Macaca mulatta: one gene and its partners. The protein of the gene in region 2 interacts with the protein of the main gene of each other region in a pairwise test. Links are inferred from orthologs where the notes say so. Each region holds a gene or a part of one and is shown on either strand. Other genes may lie near its edges.

Evidence for each region. The genes of interacting proteins can lie anywhere in the genome.
Region 1: the proteins of NPM1 (region 2) and RELA interact in a two-hybrid assay, tested with the Homo sapiens proteins (2 studies listed by BioGRID and IntAct). The link is inferred for Macaca mulatta from reciprocal best matches to the Homo sapiens genes NPM1 and RELA.
Region 3: the proteins of NPM1 (region 2) and GNL3 interact in a two-hybrid assay, tested with the Homo sapiens proteins (2 studies listed by BioGRID, with this or other methods). The link is inferred for Macaca mulatta from reciprocal best matches to the Homo sapiens genes NPM1 and GNL3.

Annotation. Positions count from the first base shown.
Region 1 is NC_133419.1:8,726,890-8,731,113, forward strand, and holds the start of RELA (transcription factor p65), read left to right. Parts: upstream 1-1,390; 5' UTR 1,391-1,719; coding exon 1,720-1,781; exon of another isoform or gene 1,782-2,028; intron 2,029-2,253; exon of another isoform or gene 2,254-2,366; coding exon of another isoform or gene 2,367-2,373; exon of another isoform or gene 2,374-2,399; intron 2,400-2,846; exon of another isoform or gene 2,847-2,988; coding exon of another isoform or gene 2,989-3,015; intron 3,016-3,073; coding exon 3,074-3,257; intron 3,258-3,325; coding exon of another isoform or gene 3,326-3,358; coding exon 3,359-3,507; intron 3,508-4,224. UniProt on the Homo sapiens protein: NF-kappa-B is a pleiotropic transcription factor present in almost all cell types and is the endpoint of a series of signal transduction events that are initiated by a vast array of stimuli related to many biological processes such as inflammation, immunity, differentiation, cell growth, tumorigenesis and apoptosis.
Region 2 is NC_133411.1:180,245,369-180,249,389, forward strand, and holds the start of NPM1 (nucleophosmin), read left to right. Parts: upstream 1-1,200; 5' UTR 1,201-1,296; coding exon 1,297-1,354; intron 1,355-3,399; coding exon 3,400-3,479; intron 3,480-4,021. UniProt on the Homo sapiens protein: Involved in diverse cellular processes such as ribosome biogenesis, centrosome duplication, protein chaperoning, histone assembly, cell proliferation, and regulation of tumor suppressors p53/TP53 and ARF.
Region 3 is NC_133407.1:116,244,239-116,248,296, reverse strand, and holds the start of GNL3 (guanine nucleotide-binding protein-like 3), read right to left. Parts: upstream 2,835-4,058; 5' UTR 2,774-2,834; coding exon 2,761-2,773; exon of another isoform or gene 2,656-2,760; intron 2,087-2,655; coding exon 2,028-2,086; intron 1,617-2,027; coding exon 1,479-1,616; intron 1,359-1,478; coding exon 1,245-1,358; intron 740-1,244; coding exon 656-739; intron 1-655. UniProt on the Homo sapiens protein: May be required to maintain the proliferative capacity of stem cells. Stabilizes MDM2 by preventing its ubiquitination, and hence proteasomal degradation.

The DNA.
Region 1 (4,224 bases), on a different chromosome or scaffold from region 2:
AAGCAAGTAACAAAGGACAACAAATCATATGATGCCCTCTACATAAAAGTTCAAAACTGGCCGGGCGCGGTGGCTCAAGCCTGTAATCCCAGCACTTTGGGAGGCCGAGGCTGAGGTCAGGAGTTCGAGACCAGCCTGGCCAACATGGTAGAACCCCGTCTCTACTAAAAAAATACAAAAATTAGCCAGGAGTGGTGGTTGGCCCCTTTAAATCCCAGCTACTTGGGAGGCTGAGGGAGGAGAATCACTTGAACCCGGGAGGTGGAGGTTGCAGTGAGCTGAATGCCACTGCACTCCAGCCTGGACGACAGAGCGAGACTTCATCTCAAAAAAAAAAAGTTCAAAACTAAGGAAAACCAAACAATATATTGTGTAGGCATGCAGATATGAGTAATTTTTTTTTTTTTAATACAGAATTCTGGCCCAGGCGTGGTGGCTCATGCCTGTAATTCCACTTTGGGAGGCTGAGGTGTGAGTATCGCTTGAGCCCAGGAGTTTGAGACCAGCCTGGGCAACACAGCAAGACCCATCTCTAGTTATAATTAATTAATTAATTTAAGAAAATACAGAATTCTGGCCCAGCGTGGTGACTCATTCCTGTAATCCCAGCACTTTGTGAGGCCAAGGTGGAAGGAAAGTTGAGCTCAGGAGTTCAAGGACAGCCTAGACAACAAGGTTAAACCACTTCTCTACAAAAAAATACAAAAACTTAGCCAGGCATGGTGGTGTGCTCCCATAGTCCCAGCTATGCAGGAGGCTGAAGTGGGAGGATTGCTTGATCCTAGGTGGTAGAGGCTGCAGTGAGCCAAGACTGTGCCACTACACTCCAGCCTGGGCGACAGAGCGCGAGCCTGTCTCAAAAAATAAATACATACAATACAATACAATACAACGCAGAATTCTGCACGGTGGTGGTCCCTTAAGTTTTGCAATGGGTACACGGGTGTTTATGGTATTAATTTAAAAGTTATAAATATACATGAATTTTAAGAAGAGGATCCATGCAAGGTTTAATGATAATTGTATGTCATCCATTCGCTCAACTGAAGTCGGCCTTCCCCGCCCCCTGCCAAAAGTAAACACTTTTCTAATCAGGGCCAGCCACTGGAGAAACTGAAATGAGTGGGCGGGGTGCTAACTCTATTTTCACTTTTCTCTTCCTGTTTCTTCAGAGCCTGGGAAACAAGTCAGAATTTCCAGTCTTTTCCAATTCCCACATGATTTCCTAATTCAAGACGAATTCAGAGAAAATAAGTCTTTCTCCATCTGGAGAAGACTCCGCCCCCTGGAGCATCCTCCTTCGGGGATGAGGCCTGAGGTGGGGCTGCGCCAGCCCCAGCCCCCACAAGGACGCGCCTTGGGCTTGGTCTTGGGGGAGCTACCCGCACTGTGGGGTCACATGACAGAATTAGTGGTCAGCCCTAGCTGGAGGTCCAGGGCAAACACAGGCGGGGGCAGTGGGGTTGGGGGTTGTGGCCCTGCTGATTCGAGTGTCCCCTGTGGGTTCCGGACCTTCTGAGATACAAGCGCCAGGCTTCAGAGACGAAGCTCCGGGGTTTACCCCTGGGGACCCCCTGCTCCTGCAGCCGCTGAGGGCCGGCAGTTTGGCTGCATAGTAAGCTGGCGCTTTAGCTGGAGAGGGACGAGCTCTCGGCCAGCTCGCCAGCGGGAGGGCCTCAAGTTGTCCCATCCGGGCTGCAGGCTCCGCAAAGCTCCCTGATGCACTGTCAGAGGGGGAGGTCCGGCCGCTCCCCTTCCCCTACAGCCGCATCTAGAGTGGGGTAGGTTGGACATTTTAACGTGCTTCTGAGACAGTCACCACCGAAAGGCACCTTTAGCGATGAGGAAACCGGCGTGGAGTTCAACCACCCGGCCTCTGCGGAGCAGAAGGCCCGACTGGGCCTTTCCCTGCGCGGGGCGGGCGGCCGCAGCCCCGTAGCCCGGGCTTTGCTCCAGACCCGGCCCAGAGTGACATCACCAAACTCCGCCGATCGGTGGGAGGGGGCCCTGAAATCCCCTAAAAACAAAGTGAGTAATCGGCGGACCCGCCCTCCAGGCGGGGCCGGGACCCGGGAGCTAGCCGAACCACCGGGCACACCAGCCTCTTCGTCTCCGGCGACGCGCGCACTTGGCCCCGGCCCCCGGCAGCGGCTGTGCGCGCGGCCTCTTCGTCCTCCGCGCGGCGCGCACTTGCTCCCGGCCCCTTCGCCGGGCGGCGGCGGGGCAGCGCGCAGGCGCGGCCGGATTCCGGGCAGTGACGCGACGGCGGGCGCGCGCGGCGCATTTCCGCCTCTGGCGAATGGCTCGGCTGTAGTGCACGCCGCGGGCCCAGCTGCGACCCCGGCCCCGCCCCCGGGACCCCGGCCATGGACGGTGAGGTCGCCCTCTGACCCCGCGGGGTGGCCGCGCCGGGACCGCCCCGGCTGTGGCGGGAGGCCCCGCGCCGCTTTCCGCCCCTTCCTGCGCCGACTGGCGCTGCGCAGGGAGCGGTCGGCCTGCCGGATGGTGGCGCGGGGCGGGGCAGGCGGGGAGGGGTCTGACTCAGTTTCCCCTCTGGGTGGAGGGGGGCCCTTGACTCAGCATCCTCCCTGGGTGGGGGAGCAGAGGGAGCCTTGACTCAGTTTCCCTCCACACCGTCCATGGGGGCAGCTCTGGCTTCGTTTCCCTATTAGGGGAGAACGCATCTGATTCAGTTTCCTCTCTGGATGGAGGTGGGGCGTGCCCTCCCTCAGTTTTCCTTATGAAAGTACAACAGGCCCTGATTCGGCTTCCCTCGGGAGAAGGATTCCTTACCCCGTTTTCCCTCAAGAAGCAGGTGTTTCTGGTTCCTTTCCTCCACTCCTTAGTTTCACCGCAGGTTCTAGGAAGCAGGTCCTTACTCAGTTCCCCTGGGAGGGAGCCTGGCTTCTCTTCTCTGTGGAGAGCAGATACTCCCTTGTGAGGATGGGCAGTGGGTGTGTGCTGACCCTGATCTCCCTCCCCTTTCAGAACTGTTCCCCCTCATCTTCCCGGCAGGTAAGTGGCCCCCGCAGCAGTCCGGGAGGTGTTCCCTGGGGTAGGGCAGCGGGGGCAGCTGTCTAATGGGCCTGCGGTGTCCCCTGGCAGAGCCAGCCCAGGCCTCTGGCCCTTATGTGGAGATCATTGAGCAGCCCAAGCAGCGGGGCATGCGCTTCCGCTACAAGTGCGAGGGGCGCTCCGCGGGCAGCATCCCAGGCGAGAGGAGCACAGATACCACCAAGACCCACCCCACCATCAAGGTCAGCACTGCACCAGGGTGTGCGGGGAAGGGACTGTGGAACCCCAGCCCTCTGTGTTTGGGAGTCAGGTTTGGATGTCTGGGCCTCTGTACTTTGGACAGATCAATGGCTACACAGGACCAGGGACAGTACGCATCTCCCTAGTCACCAAGGACCCTCCTCACCGGCCTCACCCCCACGAGCTTGTAGGAAAGGACTGCCGGGATGGCTTCTATGAGGCTGAGCTCTGCCCGGACCGCTGCATCCACAGGTGAGCTCCCTGCAGGCTAGGAGGCCCAGCATGAGGGAACAGGAGGCGGGCTATGAAGTAGCCGCTACAGTGTTACTCCTTTCTGGACACAGGGCAGAGTTGCTTACTTCTTGCTCTGACTCAGCTCTGCAAGTAAACTCTCTTTGTCTTGAAATGATCTATTTGTACCTCTACTCTAGCACAGATAAGAGCTCCAAGGGATATGGATGGGTCCCTAATCACTTCTGAATCCCTGACCCCTGTAGCTGGAAGGACAAGTCCCTTGGAGTCATGTCTCTTGTTTGAGAAAGAAAACCACTGAACCAACACTCTCCCCTGGAGGTGACATTGCAGTTGACAGAAACAGGCCTTAAAAAAATATACAGGCCAGGCATAGTGGCTCATGCTTATAATTCTAGCACTTCCGGAGGCCAAGGCAGGAAGATCTCTTGAGCCTGGGAGTTCAAGACTAACCAAGGCAACATAGTGAGACCCTATCTCTACAAAAAAATAAGAAATTAGCTGGGTATGGTGACTTGTGCCTATAGTCCCAGCTACTTGGGAGGCTGATGTGGGAGGATCACCTGAGCCCAGGAGGTCACCGCTATGGCAAGCTATGATTACACCACGACACTTGGGTAGCAGAGCGACACCTTGTCGTGTTTTTTTTTTTTTTTTGAGACGGAGTCTTGCTCTGTCCCCAGGCTGGAGTGCAGTGGCGCAATCTCAGCTCCCTGC
Region 2 (4,021 bases):
GCTCTCAGAAAGGAAGAGTTAAATTATAACATATCCATATTATGCGTTAGTATGTGTCCACAACTAACGCATATTATGGATATGTTATAATTTAACTGTTCATTCCTCTTTTGATGGATGCTGAAATCGTCTGTATAATTTTCTTGTAAGAAATAATGCCTTGGGGTGGGGGGGTCTTCCTTTCTGAGGCTATCATTTATATTCTTCACTTCTTAAATTTGATATGTTGAGGCTAAAAAAAAAGATTACGGGTCTTCAGAACGCCCCAATGCCCGGGGCTGCTGGGGTACCTCGGAGTTTGTCAACGTGTAGCTTAAAATGTTAATTCCCATACTCGCTACCAAATATTCGATTAAGGCTTCTGTAGTTCTTATAAGTCACTCGCTTTCTTTCAGGAGGAATCCTAAAGATTAAGAGCGGCAAGAAGTCAAGAGTCTGCCCACCCTCCGAGCTCTCTTAGGGCGATGTCCTTGCTCATTTGGAGACTGATTCAGTCCCCTTTAGGCCCCCAAATTACATAAAGATGAGGACTTTGGAGATGTTTTCTCAGGAAGGGCAGAACTGTAAAAACACAGTTCCGTAAGCCTGGCCGGTAGCTACATCTTTCCTTCCTAACAAAGAATAAGCCGCAATTCACTCTCCGGCACCTGAACTTTGGGGTAACGATTAACTGCGATCCCAAGCCTTCAGGCAAGTAAAAAAAAATCCTGAAATGATTACGCCTGTTTGGAGGTTTGCAAGGCACTAGGGTATGGGGGAAGTGAATCGAGGTGCTCTCCGGTTCATTCCCAGCCAGCTAACAACCCGCCATATCTAACACAGCTAAGAGCTGCCGACGCCATTTTGCAGGGTGGGCTACGCAGACTCTTGGCGGGAGGCCGGAGCGCTTGAGCGGGAGAGGACGTGGAAGTGTTGGAGGTGGGGAGCGCGCGTTACGACTGGAAAGCACGCGTGCGCACAGGCGACAGCGGTGGAGGGGTGGGGCCAGTGTACGAGTGCGCGTGCTCGGTGGGAGCCCGCGGAGTACCTGGAAGGAGGTGGGGGGCGAGGTAGAAAGGAGTGTGGTTGAAGAGCGCTTGCGCAGGAGGGCTACGGTACGGGGGTGGGAAGGCTCCGGAGCACGCGCGCGGAGGCGGGACTTGAGAAGCGCTCGCGAGATCTTCAGGGGCTATATATAAGCGCGGGGAGCTTGCGTCCTTTCCCTGGTGTGATTCCGTCCTGCGCGGCTGTTCTCTGGAGCAGCGTTGGTTTATCTCCGTCCGCCTTCTCTCCCACCTAAGTGCGTGCCGCCACCTGATGGAAGATTCGATGGACATGGACATGAGCCCCCTGAGGCCCCAGAACTATCTTTTCGGTAACTGCAGGGGGGAGCTGGAGCGAGGCCGAGCGGGGCCTGGTGGCGGTGAAGGCGGGGGTGAGGGGAGGGAATACGGCTGCAGCAGGGTCTGGTGGAGACCGCCAGACCGGCTGGAGGCCTGAGCGGGTGGGAAGAGCTGCCCGAGCCCTGGACCTGGTGGGATTGGAGCCGCGGGGGGAGCCGGAGGCGTGAAGGGGGAGGAGACGAGCGGCCTGAAGCGCCTGGAGCGTGAGCAGTCCGAGGCCCAGGGCCTGAGGTGTAGCGGAACTGGCCGCCTGGAAGTTCGGCCGTTGCCGGGGATACGCCGCGGAGCCCCAGGCGTGGTTTATTTTCTAACGGAGTTCGTTCGTAGGCTTCTGATCCCAGGCCCCGGGTTGGTGGTCCCGGAGGCTGGGTTTACCGGGAAGCATGGGCCTGCTTGTTGGAGAGGGTAGATGCACAGCCTGGCGTTGTTCTGACCTCAGAGTCTGGAGCTGCCGGACCCAGATTTCACTCGCGTGCTTCGGCCAGTTACTGGGGGAGGGGAGGCGCGGCGCGGCGTGAGGCGGCCGCAACCGCTGGGAGCACGTGGTTGCCACGTGGTTGGGGGAGGGAGGGGGGTGTGGGCACTACATCCGGGGCTCACCAGCATGTTGCTACTCCAGATCAAGGGATGCTGTGGCTCAGTTGAAGTGGGAAATGTTAAGAGGCTGGTAACACTAGGATTCTGGAGGCCTTTGTTCAGTGCTTACAGCATCTACTGTGATGGCAGCTCTTTTTTTTTTGAGCCCCTTTTCTGTCTCACTGCAGTAGCTGGAGCTAGCCCCACTTTGCAGATGACGGCACTGGTGCCCAGAGATTAACTCACTTAACGAAGGTTGTACTTATAGGCAAAGAGGCTAAAACTAAACCAAGACCCTTGACTCGTAGCTGCTGCTTCGTGAATATTAATGAGGCTTCGTTTTAGGGGGACGTCCTCGCATGCCGCCATTTGTGCAGCATTGACCAAACCGCTTATTTAAATACAAGAAACAAGTAGAGTGTTCGATTTGAGTCAGATCAAGACCTAAAACTATTCGCAGAATTTTGGGACCACCACCCCCTTCGACTTGCGGTAGCCCTGCCCCAAAAAGGAGAGTCCCACTTGGGTTTTTAATGTCAGTAGGTTTAATTACAGAAGCCTAATCTTTGTGTACTATTCGGACTTTGAAGTAAGTGCGAATCCTACCGTGAATTTTATCTTGTTCATTATCCGTGCTGAGATTTGTTAATTAAACCTCTTCACATTTAAGCGTGTATATGTATTGGTAACAGATGGTAGTTAAATGGAATTATTTAAAATTTTTATTCTGACAGTATTTTAAAGAATTTTGCCCATGCATGGATGGAGTGGCAGTAGACACATGTATTTAAAACATTAAGGCTTTAATTCCTAGCTGTTTTGGATAACTGAGAATTCTGATAAATTTATATCAGTACTTTTTGATAACTGTTGGAAACAATCCTCCTTGTCTTAAACATAGTTTCTGAATATAGTTTCAGGCGTATGTCACTTTCTGTTGCTTTAAAGAGTAGAGTGTTGACCCCTGTAGCAAGCTTTGGTTCTTTTACCTTTGTCGTTTTTCTTTTGTAATAGTAAGCTATTCATGTTTGTAACCGTTCTCATTTCGAACTTTCCATTTGGGAATTTAGGTGGGTAAATCAGCTGTTTTAAATAGTGGGAAACTTAACATTGGACATTACATTTGGTTTCAGGTAATTGTTTTAGGTTCAGATTTACTAAACCGTTGAGCTCGTTTCTGTATGCAGAATAACAGTGCCTATCAGCGTAGAGATGAAATATGGTATGAGGAGAAAATAGAATTGTAGACTTCTATGGGTGTTACTTGTTTGTAGAGGTTTCTGTTCAAGAAATCGTGGAATTGATCATTCTGCTTTGCCCTCTGGTAGCTAAAATTGTGAAAAACTAGTTCAAAAGTTAGACCTGACCTTTTTGGTTACCCACACTTAAGTTTCAGTGTTATTTTTCTCCTTGTTAGAGTTGCTTTTTTCTTCATTTACAGGTTGTGAACTAAAGGCCGACAAAGATTATCACTTTAAGGTGGATAATGATGAAAATGAGCACCAGTTATCTTTAAGAACGGTACTTAAACTTTCAAAATAAACTACTTAACCCTACTTGATTTCAGCCTTTTAGTTTCTATTCATGTGGCTTGAGACTTTTCCTTTGCTGACTGCTTATAAAATACTATTTCTTACACCTGGGTATTGTGTGTACCTCACTGTCTGTACATCTTTGATGAAGAACTTGGCATCTATACTCATTTGGTAACCATGTAAAATCCAGTCACATCGTTAAACTTGCCTTATTTTCTTCAGTTGGATTATAAAGCCCTTGTAAAAGGCATCGATAATCTTACATGTCTACCAGAGACTAGCTTTTCTCTCAACTTAGAAGTTGCTCAATAAATAAGTTAGGTGATCTATATTGTGTGTATGCATATTTATGCATTTCTTAAATTTTCTGAATATGAGAAATTGATTTGCCAAGATCACAAAACCTGAGGATAACATTGCACAGATTTGTTTTCTGAGGTAACAGTGATAGGTTTATACTTGTATTTTTAAAAAATCATAGTCATGTGCCTCATTGCAACTGTTGGGTCAACAGATGGATCATACAAC
Region 3 (4,058 bases), on a different chromosome or scaffold from region 2:
TTTCAAAAATGAAAATATCCCTGTCTTTGAATCCTCCCATAGTGAATTATGTAGTTTGGTAGGTCCCTCTGGCCTTGCCAAAAGCTGCTGAGGGGCAGTCAGGTTCTATCCACGGGGGAGTGAGCTTGGGAAAATGGATGTTGGGGATGGGAGTGCTGGAGAGCAACTACACCAAGGAGACAGTACCCTCTTGTCCTCTTTCACTTAGGTTTCAACAGAGTAGAGACCCTTAGCCTGACATTGCTTACTCCAATGTACTTTTCTCAATCTCAACACTATGTCAACATTTTTTAAAAAAATGTTGTAAATCATGCTTACAGGCAGAACCAGTTTTGTGCAAATATTTAGAACCAAAGAAACTATTTGTCAGGTAAACATAGCAGGAAAGGCATTAAACAGCATAAGTTAGAGTCGAGTCATGAAATGATTTGTTGGTGGAAGGTGGGAGGAGGGAGAGGATCAGGAAAGGTAACTAATTGGTACTAGGCTTAATACCTGGGTGATGAAATAATCTGTACAACAAACCCCCACGACACAAGTTTACCCATGTAACAAACCTGCACATGTACCCTTGATCTTAAAAGGTTAAAAAAAAAATGACTTGAGTCTTTTAAACCTCATTACTACTGTCAGACACTGACCTAGGCTAAGATACCTTTTTAAGTTCTTGGCAGTACAGCTTCTTTGAATTCTGTTTTCCTGACTTGGCTTTGTTCTCAGTTTTGCAAAGCCCAAATGCCTAGAGGATAAAGGGGAAAAGGACACAAAATTAGAAGTAGAGCAGTAGTAACCTCTATCTCCATTTTCCACAGCTGAGTAGCAGCACTTGCAGTTGTTAAATAGGTAAGATGGAGTCTGAACTCAGTTGTCTTCCTCCCAAGAAGCTCAGCAGCCTGTAGATGTGCTTTTATTTCTGCACCAGAACTCATCTCTCAGCCAGGCGCAACAGCCCACACCTGTAATACCAGAAACTGGTAGGCTGAGGTGGGTGGATCACTTGAGTCCAAGAGTTTGAGACCAGCCTTGGCAATATAGTGAAAGCCCGTGTCTACTAAAAAAAATTAGCCAGGCATGATGGTGTGCTTCTGTAGTCCCAGCTCCTCAGAGACTGAGGTGGTAAGACTGCTTGAGCCTGGGTGGTCGAGGTCGCAGTGAGCTGTGATTGTGCCACTGCACTCAGGCCCAAGCAACAAAAACAAAATCAAAACCCCTGATCTCTCATTCATAAAGAGACCTAATCATACCTTTTCCATAGGTTCCACATTTGATGGCTTAATATCAGGATTAGTTTCAAGTTTTCTTTTCTTTCCTAGTTCCTTCTGCCTGTCAAGTTTCTGCTGCTGTTTTAGTTCTTCAAGCTGTGTCAGAGCCGTAAGGGAAATAGATGAACCAGTGACTAGTGTTGTTACCTTACTCTGAAAAATATCACACATAACACACTATACCACTCGTTGAAAATTCTGGCTAACATAACTTACCCTCTGTTTCCTTAGCTCAGCTTCCCTAAGAAGAGCCTCCTTAAAGGGAGCACTGTTTGGAACTCCTGGGTCTTTCCTAGGCTTCTTGTGACCCCGCTTTTTAGCCTCCTTCCTTAATTTTCGATGATGTTCTCGAACCTATTAAAGAGATTTTGTCTGCTTACAAAAATATCTTTATACTTAAGCAGAATTCAAGTGAGAAACCAATCTGGCTGCAATTTAGTTATGCCTATAAAATGTAATAGGAAAATGGAGCTTTAGTTGGAATCTTACAAAGTAATGCATAGGTAAGTATAAAACAGTAAGAAAATGTAACTAGAAGGCTCTCTATGCAGAGATTAACATGTTGAACAAATTTAGAGACTTACCACCAAATCACTGCACTTTCTCACAGCTGCACTCCTGATGCCTAAGAGCTCGTGCCCATGGTCAGTCTATCCAATGCCATTTTCCGAAACCAAATCACATTAACCCGGACTTTCCCGCAAAGGAACAGGGCAAAATCAGTTTAGCAGTGTTTAGTATAGCTCTCTCAAGCACTACACTTACCTTTTTTTGGATTTTATACCGCTTATGGCAGGTCATGCGTTTACTTGCTTTCTTTAACTCTACAAAGAAACATCACAAATCTGTTAACGCAAATGATTAGTTCTGGGTTAACGCACTATGGAGTTATATCCTTTTCTCGTGTTATTGGCTGCCAAACCTAACGTTAAGACTAATGCGAAATGCCTAATGCAAACATACATGCCACTTTCAAATTCCAGAGAATTAGATTCAGTAGATCCAGAACGGAGTCCAAGTTCCCTGCACCTACTCTTACAATATCAGAATAGGATCATACACAGCAGCGTGTACGAGCGTTTATGAGACCCAAAACGACAGCCACTTTGTGTCAAACAGCACGAATCATAAGGCAGGAGAGGAACACTGAGTCTGGGAGGCGATTCTCAGCTCTCACCTGGGCCAGCCTGCACGTGGCCACGGAAAGTAAGATATTGGGCCTGAAACCTGGCTCAGAAGCTGCTTCCTTACGAAAATCTAGCCTAGTCTTTCCCACCCTCTGCCCGTCTTCGTTCCACAGAATGAGCCCGCGCGGTTAACATGATCGCCGTAGGGACTTCCAACTCTCGGTCCTACGAGAAAATAGGGCCAAGGCCTACGCGTAGGCTCTCACCCCTATATCAGCAGAGACAAAGCCGTAGCCGTAAAAGAGCGTCGTGGAGGCTGCAGCAACTTCCAGACATGGGTCCCTCCACGCCCGCTTCCCGACCCCACTTACTAGGCCGCTTCATGTTGGCTGTAGAAAGCGGCACGAGCACGACACCCTGCCTCCTCTAGCGCCACGTGTGAAGTGAAGCCACTGACGAGCGTCACGCACTTACGCTGCCGCCGTAAAGTGCGTCACCGCCTCTCTGCGTGCGCGCGCACGCAGTGTCGCGCGGAGCAGGGATCGCTTGGCGGCCGCGGGACTGGTTTTGCGGCGGCACCGGGAGGGGTAAGGGAGGTGAGGGCGGCGGGTGCCGGAGCGACGGCAGCGGCCGCGGCCGGAGGAGCAATAGCAGCAGCCGTGGCGGCCACGGGGCGGGGCGCGGCGGTCGGTGACCGCGGCCGGGGCTGCAGGCGGCGGAGCGGCTGGGTAAGGCCGGGCCCAGGGCGGGTGGGGCCGCTCCCCCTCGGCCAGCTGCCGGGCCTTTGTGTGGGCCCTGGCGGGCGGGAGCCGCCGCGGAGGCCCCGCCCCGGCTGTGGGGACGCGCCGGTCGGGCCGGGCGCGCGGGGTTGGGCGGGGCACGGCGGCGGGCCTCCCGATGGGCCCAGTAGCTTTGTCGCACCTGCCGGCAGACAAAGGCGCACTAAGGCCCGGAAACTCCCCGCCCTCCTCTTTCCCGCTCGTCGCGGGGCAGCTTCAAAGCTGTCAACGTTTCCCTCAGCCCCCAATACCAGTGACAGGTCGGGAAAGTCCTTCATTTCCTCCGTTGCTCAGGGCCTCTTTTTTTTGTTGTTATTTCTTGGCGGTTCGACACAAACTCTTACTGATTTTTCTTTCCGTATTTTTTCCGGGTGTTTTAATCAATGGGACTTCTATAGTAGAGGCCAAATATTTCAGCTTCTCATCTCAACACCACAAAGAATCCGGGTTTTTGGGAACTGTGTATATTTCTTGGTTTGGGGAAGCACAGTTTTGTTATTATAATAAGTTTTAATTTAAAGGGGCAGAAAGAGTTGCAAAAATATGGAAAAAGTCCTGAAAAATAAGTACACGGTATAGTGAATATAGAAATTCTTACAGTAGCTATACAAGCGTATGTTGGGGTAAAATGTTTTAACTTACTTTCCAACACATTAGGACTCTTGACAAATAATTTTAGGTGTTATTTTTTCTCCATTTGGCTATGTGCTTCCCCCCAAAAAGTGCATATTGGACTCATGCACATAAAAGAGTAGCATAATTTTTGCTTTATTACTTACAGGTCGCCCATATTTGATTTTGAGCTCCAAAATGGAAGATTGGAAAATATGTTTTGAAGAGGTGTTTCAAATTAAAACAATAAAGAGTTATGTGTGGATGAATGGAAGGGC